Macaca fascicularis: one gene and its partner. The main gene of each other region encodes a partner of the protein of the gene in region 2 in a complex. Links are inferred from orthologs where the notes say so. Each region holds a gene or a part of one and is shown on either strand. Other genes may lie near its edges.

Region 1 (4,402 bases), on a different chromosome or scaffold from region 2:
TTTTTTTTTGTATTTTTTAGTAGAGATGGGGTTTCACCGTGTTAGCCAGGATGGTCTCGATCTCCTGACCTCGTGATCCGCCCGTCTCGGCCTCCCAAAGTGCTGGGATTACAGGCTTGAGCCACCGCGCCCGGCCTTGTTTTGTTTTTGAGACAGTTTCACTCTGTCTCCCAGGCTGGAGTGCCGTGGCATGATCTCGGCTCACTGCAGCCTCTGGCTCCCGGGTTCAAGCGATTCCCAAGCCACCATGCCTGGCTAATTTTTGTATTTTTAGTACAGCTGGGGTTTCATCATGTTGGCCAGGCTAGTCTCGAACTCCTGACCTAAAGTGATCCGCCCACCTCAGCCTCCTAAAGCTCTGGGATTACAGGAGTGAGCCACCGCGCGCGGTCTTCTCACTTTAGAGACCTCTTCTCCCCAGTTTTTTTCGGGGGAAGAACCCCTCAGTGGCACCCTTCATCATGGCCTAGGAAACCGGGGCCCCAGAATGGGACCAGACTGCTCCCCATCACCGGTGCCTGGGGACGTGTTTGTTCTGCAGGAACAGAGCTCCGCCGGGTAGAGCTTCTCGCTCTACCTTCCTTGGGTGGCTGTGATCCAAATAAATCTCCAATAAGGCCTAGCGGAGCTTTACTTCTAATGCGTACGAAGGCATCTCCCTCCCCTCACTTGTCCCCTAAGTTGAGGGCTGACCTGAAAGGCACATTTGGTGACAAAGTGTATCTCCGTGTTCACGCGCTCCAGCAAGCCTTGCATCTTGGACCCAGCCACAGTCTTGAGCCGCTCCATCCAGCGCTGTGCCAGGACCAGCCGCCAGAGGGCCCCGCAGAGCTCCTCCTAGTGGGGAGAACCCCCGGGTCTGAGGGAGGAGGGGCTGGGCCGGGGCTGCTGGGCCGGAGGGAGGAGGGGCTGGGCCGGAGGGAGGAGGGGCTGGGCCGGGGTTCCTGGGTCTGAGGGAGGAGGGGCCGGGGACTCTGATTCCTGGGTTTGGGGAGGGGAGGGCCAGGTTATCCACTCGCCTGGGTGGGGCATCTTGAGTCTGTGGTCCCCACCTCCATCCCAGGTCCCTCCCAACATGACTCACGTCCTGCAGGTTGGAGGGCACGGTGACCGGGTAATCTTGAAGCAGGTAGTCAGACTGCATGCGGGAGAAAACAGAGTCAGGCCTGGCTGAAGACAGCGGGAAACAGAACTGTGGAGACCCAGAGGAGGCAGCAGAGAATCGGAGAGAGAGGGAAAAGAGCCAGAGAGGGGAGCCCAGAAGAAGTCACAGAACTTTGACTTCACAGAGGGAGGATACCCCTAAGCACAGTGGCTCACGCCTGTAATTCCAGCATTTTGGGAGGCCAAGGTGGGAGGATCGCTTGAGCCCAGGAGTTCAAGACCACCCTGGGCAACACAGGGACAGAGACCCCGTCTCTACTTAAAAAAAAAAAAAAAAAAAGGGAGGGGGATCACGTGAGGGGGTCCGGGGTAGCGGGTAGCGCCTCTCACCAGCTCGCGGATTTTGACAGCGAAGTCGGAGGAGATGGGGCTGTGTTGGAAGGAGCAGTCCTGGGTCTCACTGAGTCCCGAACTCAGCAGCAGCAGCAGGAGGAGATAGGTCTGCAGGGGAGGGGGCGCTAGGGGAGCCCTCCGCTGTTCCACACACAGCCCCCTCCTCCGGGCTTCCCACCTGCACTGTTCTGTCTTCCCCGCTCCTCCTTCCCCAGGTGTCCTTCCGCCTCTTCCACACTTTCCGGGGACGTGGCCCCATCTCTGCTCGTCTTTCCCGGTTTCTCTCTGCCTCTGGTCCAACGCCGTCCAGTTTGCATCCTCCTCTGCCCCACCCCTCTCTCTTCCCATCTCCCCCACTCTGCCCGTCTGTCTCCAACCACCTCATCCTCACGTCTGCTTTCCTCGCCCGGGTTCCTCCAGTCCTGTTCCTCCCTCTGCCTTATACACCCCTGTTGCCTGCTTCTCTCTTGATCTTGGTCCACGTCCTCTTCATTCGTTCTTGGCTCTGTCCACCTCCCCTCTCCTCTGTCCATCTCCCCTGTCCTCTGTCCATACCCCCTCCTGTCCATCTCCTCTCCTGTCCATCTCCCCCTCCTCTGTCCATCTCCCCATCTGTCCATCTCCCTCCTCCTGTCCACCTCCCCCTCCTCTTCATCTCCCTCTCCTCTGTCCATCTCCCCCTCCTGTTCACCTCCCCCTCCTCTGTCCATACCCCCTCCTGTCCATCTCCTCTCCTGTCCATCTCCTCATTCTCTGTCCATCTCCCCCTCCTGTCCAGCTCCCTCTCCTGTCTATTTCCCTCTCCTCTGTCCATCTCCCTCTCCTATCTCCCCCTCCTCTGTCCATCTCCCCCTCCTGTCCATCTCCCCCTCCTGTCCATCTCCCCCTCCTCTGTCCATCTCCCCCTCCTCTGTCCATCTCCTCTCCTATCCATCTCCCCTCGTATTTCCCCCTCCTCTGTCCATCTATCCTCCCCTCCATCTCCCCCCCCCCGCCCCATCCTGACATTGTGCCTCCCCTCTCCCCTGACCTTGTCCCTGGGATTTACGCACTGTTGGGCTCCAGGCTGGCGCCAGCACTGTCATCTCGGCCGGGGGCCCCTCATGCCTCCTGTGGCCGGGTCTTGGAAGGGACAGAAGAACAAGTCTCGGACCCCCATGCCCCAGCCCCTGTCCCGCCCGCCCCTTTGCCTCCCCGCCCCTCCTGCATCCCTTTGATGTGGCTGAGTTTCCGCCCCTTCCTCCCCCAGGCTTCCTGCGTCGGCCCCAGTTATGGTGAAAACTCTTCATCTCCACTTCCAAGAACCCCGATGGTCCCCAGAACCCTCCCCAGGTTAGGGACCCAGGAACCCAGCCCCCCACCCTCTGCTCCCCCTGTCCCAGGAGTGGGGACCCTGGCTCCGCCCCTTGGGGACCTAGAGTCCAAGTCTCCTCACGCACCAGGCTTGCCCCAGCTGGGTGTGGAAGGGGCCAAGCCGGGTGACAGCCAGAGACCGAAAGTGAAAGGAAAATTTTGGGGGGAGACAGTCCAGGGGTGGAATCTGGGCCCAGGCAGAGCGCGCTCCCTGGTGGTGAGAGGCGGCCGCTCACGCCGCAGATGGTGGGTTCCCTGGACGCCCCGCGGCGGGGGCTGCAGTGGGGTTGACTCCCTGGGTGGCATGCCCAGTGCATGGTGAGCTGGGGCTGGAACCCGGATCTGTCTCTGGGAACTAGGAGTTGCTGTGTCTTACCATCCTCTGGGCCCCAACTTTGCCCCGCCAAGGCTTGGCACACAGGACCCAGGATGTATCTTGTCACATTGGGCCTGGCAGGTGTCGCCCTAGCCCTAGCTTTATCATTGTGGGAGCTTGGCCAGCCCGTTGACCTCTCTAAGCCTCGGTTTCTCCAACTCCAAACTGAGAAGTGAGGTGGTAAATGAGACAAAATAGAAGCTCTCTTCCACATCTGTGGACCTCTGAATCTCTGAAGTTTTTTTTCTTTTTTTTGAGAGGGGGTCTCTCTCTGTTGCCCAGGCTGGAGTGCAGTGGCACAATCTCCTCTCACTGCTACGTCCACCTCCCGGGTTCAAGCGATTCTTGTGCCTCAGCCTCCTGAGTAGCTGGAATTACAGGTGCGTGCCATCACGCCCAGCTAATTTTTGTATTTTTAGTAGAGACGAGGTTTCACCATATTGGCGAGGCTGATCTTGAACTCCTGATCTCAGGTGATCTGCCTGCCTCAGCCTCCCAATGTGCTGGGATTACAGGTGTGACCCACCACACCTGGCCTGAATCTTTTGCTTACCCATCCGATCCGTGGCAGACTGTCCTCAAACATCTGCTGGCCCCTCTTCCCTGCAGAAGGATTCGAGGCCCCATCCTGGGGAACTCGGACATGGCCACACTCACTTTGGCCAATCACATGAGGGTGGAGGTGACAGGTGTCACTTCTAGATGGAAGTCTAAGGGTCTGGGGAATGGATGGTGGAGGATGCATGGAGAGAGCGCCTCCATCAGCCAAGTTTCCTGTGCCACTCAGAGGAGTACAGGGATCCTGCCAGCCCTGGGTGAGCGCAGGGAGTGTAAGAACAAACTAAAGTTGTGGTTGTGGCCCACGCAGATTTGGGGGTTGTGTGTTACTGCAGCAAAGCCTCGCCCGTCGTGGCCTTCACCATCCATTTCCCTTCCCTGATCCCTCTGCCTGCCTCACTTCCTGTTCAGCCTGGGTTAGCTGCCTTGTGGCACTGACTGATCAGACCTTCCATCTGGCTAGAAAGAGAGGCAGAGATACAAGCCCCAATAGCTCATGTGGCCCATGGACAAAGGACCTGCTCTAGCTCCTTCCTGACCAAGTCCTGGGGCCCCTCAATGTGTGTCCTGCCCTACTGCCCTACCACCTCTAGGGAATCTCTGTGGCCTTCCCAAAGA
Region 2 (3,806 bases):
TAGCAGCTTCTCCAGTGCTGACATCCTCTATTTTGGCTTGGGCAAGCTCTCAGGGGTATCCTTGTTTCCAAGATTTTGGCTTGGGGTGGGATTTCCTGTGGGCACTGGGACCCCGGAATACACCATGTCTTCAGCTTCACGCTGGACAGGGATCCGGGGCTTTCACTTGTTCATGTCCTATTCCTCATGGCTAAAATAATCTCTTATATTTTTTGGCATGCTTTGCTTCTTCTAAACACTTTCATATACTATTACCTCTTTCATTCAGTCATTCAATAAGTATTTATTGAGTGCCTACTGTGTAAGAGCCAATATCCTAGACGCTGGGGAATGAAGGATAAACAATACACAACTCTTGTCTTCCTGGAGTTTAGAGTCTCCTGGAGAAGGCAGAGAAGTAAATAAGCCATTACAATACAGTGCCATAAATGCAATATGGCAGGCAAGGTGTGGGCCTGTAATCCCAACATCGTGGGAGGCTGAGGCAAGCGGGAGAATTGCTGGTACCCAGGAGTTTGAGACCAGCCTGGGCAAAATAGCGAGAGCTCATCTCTGCTTAAAAATAAAATAAAATAAAAATTAGCTGGGCGTGATGGTGCATGCGTGTAGTTCCAGCTACTGGAAAGGTCATGGACAGACCATCACTTCAGCCTAGGACTTCAAGCTTGCATTGAGCTATGATCACTCCACTGCACTCCAGCCTGGGTGACAGACTGAGACCCTATCTCAAAAAAAAAACGAAAAGAAAAAATGCGAACTGGCAAAGGAATGCAGGGGTTCTGTAGGGTCAAAAGGGACAGCTACCTTAGCCTTTGAGGGGTGGGGAAAGGAGCATTCAATGTCTAAACTGAGTCCTGAAGAAAAACGGGAGCTGGCCATGGTGGAGGGGGAGGAGAACGGTGCCGAGGGTTGTGAAAGAGTGTGCAGAGGTCGAGAAAGGAGAGGGCACAGCACCACAGACACAGACCCTGCCCTCATGAGGCACAGGGGCTGCTGGACAGATGGGACAGCAACTGGATATTAAACACATGTCGTGACAAAGGTGACGGATTCTACGGGGGAAAGTCTGCAGAAAGCTAATGTCGCACATTGTAAGGGCTTCAATATTGTCTGTGGTGTGAGACAGAGGAAGTGGTGTTTAAGCTGAGATCTGAGGTTGCAGTGGGAGATACCTACATGAAAGGGGAAGGGGAAGCAGAAGGATCCACTTGTGCAAAGGCCCCACAGTGGGCGGGAGGACAGTGCTGGGGGAACTGAAAGAAGGCCAGTGCTCTGGGTGCTGAGAACAAGAGCTGGGGAGGCGGCGGCGGCCCAGCCATGCGGGTGGTGGAGGAAATGCGAAGTAGGAAAGCCATTTGATCTGCTTAGCCTTTCATCACTGTCACTTGCACCTCAGCATGGAGAAACCAAAGGGAGGCAAGAGTGGATACAGGAACTTGCTTTGGAAGCTTTCGTCCAGGAGAGAGCCTTGAACTAGGGTGGTGGTAATAGAGATGGAGGGACAAGGATGGAATCAAGAGACACTAAGCGGAAACCTGATAGGATTGGCTCACAGGGTGTTAGAAAGAGGAAGGTGTCAAGGAAAAGTCACGGGTTCCTAGTGTGCCCAACTATATAGAATGTGGTTATTTATTCACTGGCATTCATTACCAGTCACAGAGAGGACCGCTGGTGCAGGACCAGGGTTAGGGGAGTTCACCTTGGATACACTGTGTTAAAGGGAACTTTGAGACATCCAAACATTTAATACGTGAACCTGAAGCTCCAAAGCGAGATACAAGCATGAGGGCCATTGGTGTATGGGAGGACATCACGGGCATAGTGGGGATGGACTGTGTTGAGTGTGTGGAGCAGAAATGCAAGGCGGTCCAGGAGCAAGCCTACAGGGATGCCCCCTAAAAAGCTGGATGGAGCCTAGGCAACATGGCAAAGCCCCATCTCTACCAAAAATACAATAATTAGCCAGGCATGGTGGCGCAAGCCTGTAGTTCCCCCTACTCAGGAGCCTGAAGTGGGAGGATGGCTTGAGCCTGGGAAGTGGAGGTTGCAGTGAGCTGAGATCACACCACCGAACTCCAGCCTGGGTGACAGAGCGAGGCTGTGTTTCAAAAACAGCCACAGCAACCAAAGCTGGATGGAAGAAGATGAGCTCACAAAGGACTGAGAAGGGCAGGGGGGTGGGAGGAAAACCAGAATACGGCGACACAAAACCCAAAGAAAGAAAGTTTCTAGATGGAGAGAAGAGTCAACAGCATCAATTCATGCTGAACAATCAAGTAATGAGGACTGACAAATATCCATTAGGCTTGGTTTGAGGTCACTGTTGACCTTAGCAAGAGAGTCAGCTGGAGGTGCTTTTGCTGAGTCAGCGGTGGTAACGGGGAGGCCAATAATGAGGCTGGACGCCAGATCGGAATGGATGGAGCAATGAAGTGAGGATACGAAGGGCCCCAATTTACTGTCCTACCCAGAGTCTGTTTCAGCCCACACCTGTAATTCCAGCACTTTAGGAGGCCAAGACAGCCTCACTTGAGCCAGGAGTTTGCAACCAGCCTGGGCAATATGGTGAGACACCATCTCTACAAAAAAATAAAAACAAAATTAGCCAATTGTATTGGCACACTCCCGTGAGGCTGAGGTGAGAGGATCGCTTGAGCCAAGGAGGTCGAAGTTGCAGTGAGCTATGATCACAGCACTCTAGCCTGGGCAACAGAGCAAGATCCTGTCTCTAAAAATAAAACAAAACAACAACAACACAGACGGAAGAAAGAACTTCTGCCTGTGGCAACTGTATCCCCAAATATCAAAGCCTATAAAAACTAAATAGGCCTGGCACAGTGGCTCACACCTGTAATCCCAGCACTCTGGGAGGCCGAGGCGGGCAGATAGCTTGAGCTCAGATCAGCCTAGGCAACATGGTGAAACCTCGTTTCACCAAAAATACAAAAATCAGCTGCGCGTGGTGGTGCGCGCCTGTATCCCCAGCTGCTGAGGAGCCTGAGCCCAGGGGGCGGAGGCTGCAGTGAGCCATGATCACACTGCTGTACTCCAGCCTAGGTGACAGAGTGAGACCCTATCTCAATAAAATAAAATAAAATAAAAATAAACAAAGAGAGAAGTGGAAGAAGAGGTGGAGCTTTGTATTTATGACTTGAATTTTGTACTCATGACTGGCTTGACACTCATCCCAATCCACTCCATTTTTAGCCTCGAAACATGGCAAATAGTAACCATTCAAAGGATGGAAAAGAAGAAGGCATGGGTGGGAAACCGTGCCTCCCATTTTTGTGCATCTTTGTTGCTGTTCTTCCACTATACTGTACCTTTCAGCATTTTGACTGCAACCTGGATTGAGACTCCTGTTTTGCTAATTCCATAAGCTGTTGCGTTCATCACTTTTCCAAAAGCCCCTGATCCTAGCACCTTCCCTGCAAAGATAAATGGTGAGTACGTGCATTTGAAAGATTTCCCAATGGAGAAGAAATGCTGTGGAAACATTTGGCCCATTCCACTCTTACCAAACTCTAAATTTTCTCTTGGAAACTCCCATTTGAGATCATAGTCACAGTCTCTGAAATCAACGTAGAAGTACTCATTATCTGAGGAGCCGGTCACCTGTACCATCTGTAGCTGGCTTTCATACCTAAATTGCTTCAGAGATGAAATGACGAGTCAGTTAGGAATAGGCAGTTCTGCAGATGGAGGAAAGAATAATGAATTTTTACCTTTGCTTTTACCTTTTTGTACTTGTGACAAATCAGCATGGTTAAAACGACAATGAAGAGGAGACAAACACCAATTGTTGC

What was found.
Region 1: the proteins of FLT3 (region 2) and FLT3LG are in contact, whole or in part, in a crystal structure (PDB 7QDP), measured with the Homo sapiens proteins. The link is inferred for Macaca fascicularis from reciprocal best matches to the Homo sapiens genes FLT3 and FLT3LG. Residues at the interface, in NP_004110.2 of Homo sapiens: Asp180, His279, Gly280, Phe281, Gly282, Met300, Ser301, Thr302, Tyr303, Asn306, Arg307, Met309, Arg311, Ser333; in NP_001191431.1 of Homo sapiens: His34, Ser35, Pro36, Ile37, Ser38, Ser39, Asp40, Lys44, Lys87, Glu99, Asn102, Thr103, Glu104, His106, Phe107.

The regions. Positions count from the first base shown.
Region 1 is NC_088393.1:57,427,173-57,431,574, reverse strand, and holds the start of FLT3LG (fms-related tyrosine kinase 3 ligand), read right to left. Parts: upstream 2,998-4,402; 5' UTR 2,787-2,997; coding exon 2,550-2,786; intron 1,789-2,549; coding exon 1,495-1,788; intron 1,139-1,494; coding exon 1,085-1,138; coding exon of another isoform or gene 838-1,084; coding exon 694-837; intron 1-693. UniProt on the Homo sapiens protein: Stimulates the proliferation of early hematopoietic cells by activating FLT3. Synergizes well with a number of other colony stimulating factors and interleukins. Required for the development of B cells, and dendritic cells (DCs).
Region 2 is NC_088391.1:7,957,783-7,961,588, forward strand, and holds part of FLT3 (receptor-type tyrosine-protein kinase FLT3), read right to left. Parts: coding exon 3,738-3,806; intron 3,652-3,737; coding exon 3,519-3,651; intron 3,429-3,518; coding exon 3,324-3,428; intron 1-3,323. UniProt on the Homo sapiens protein: Tyrosine-protein kinase that acts as a cell-surface receptor for the cytokine FLT3LG and regulates differentiation, proliferation and survival of hematopoietic progenitor cells and of dendritic cells.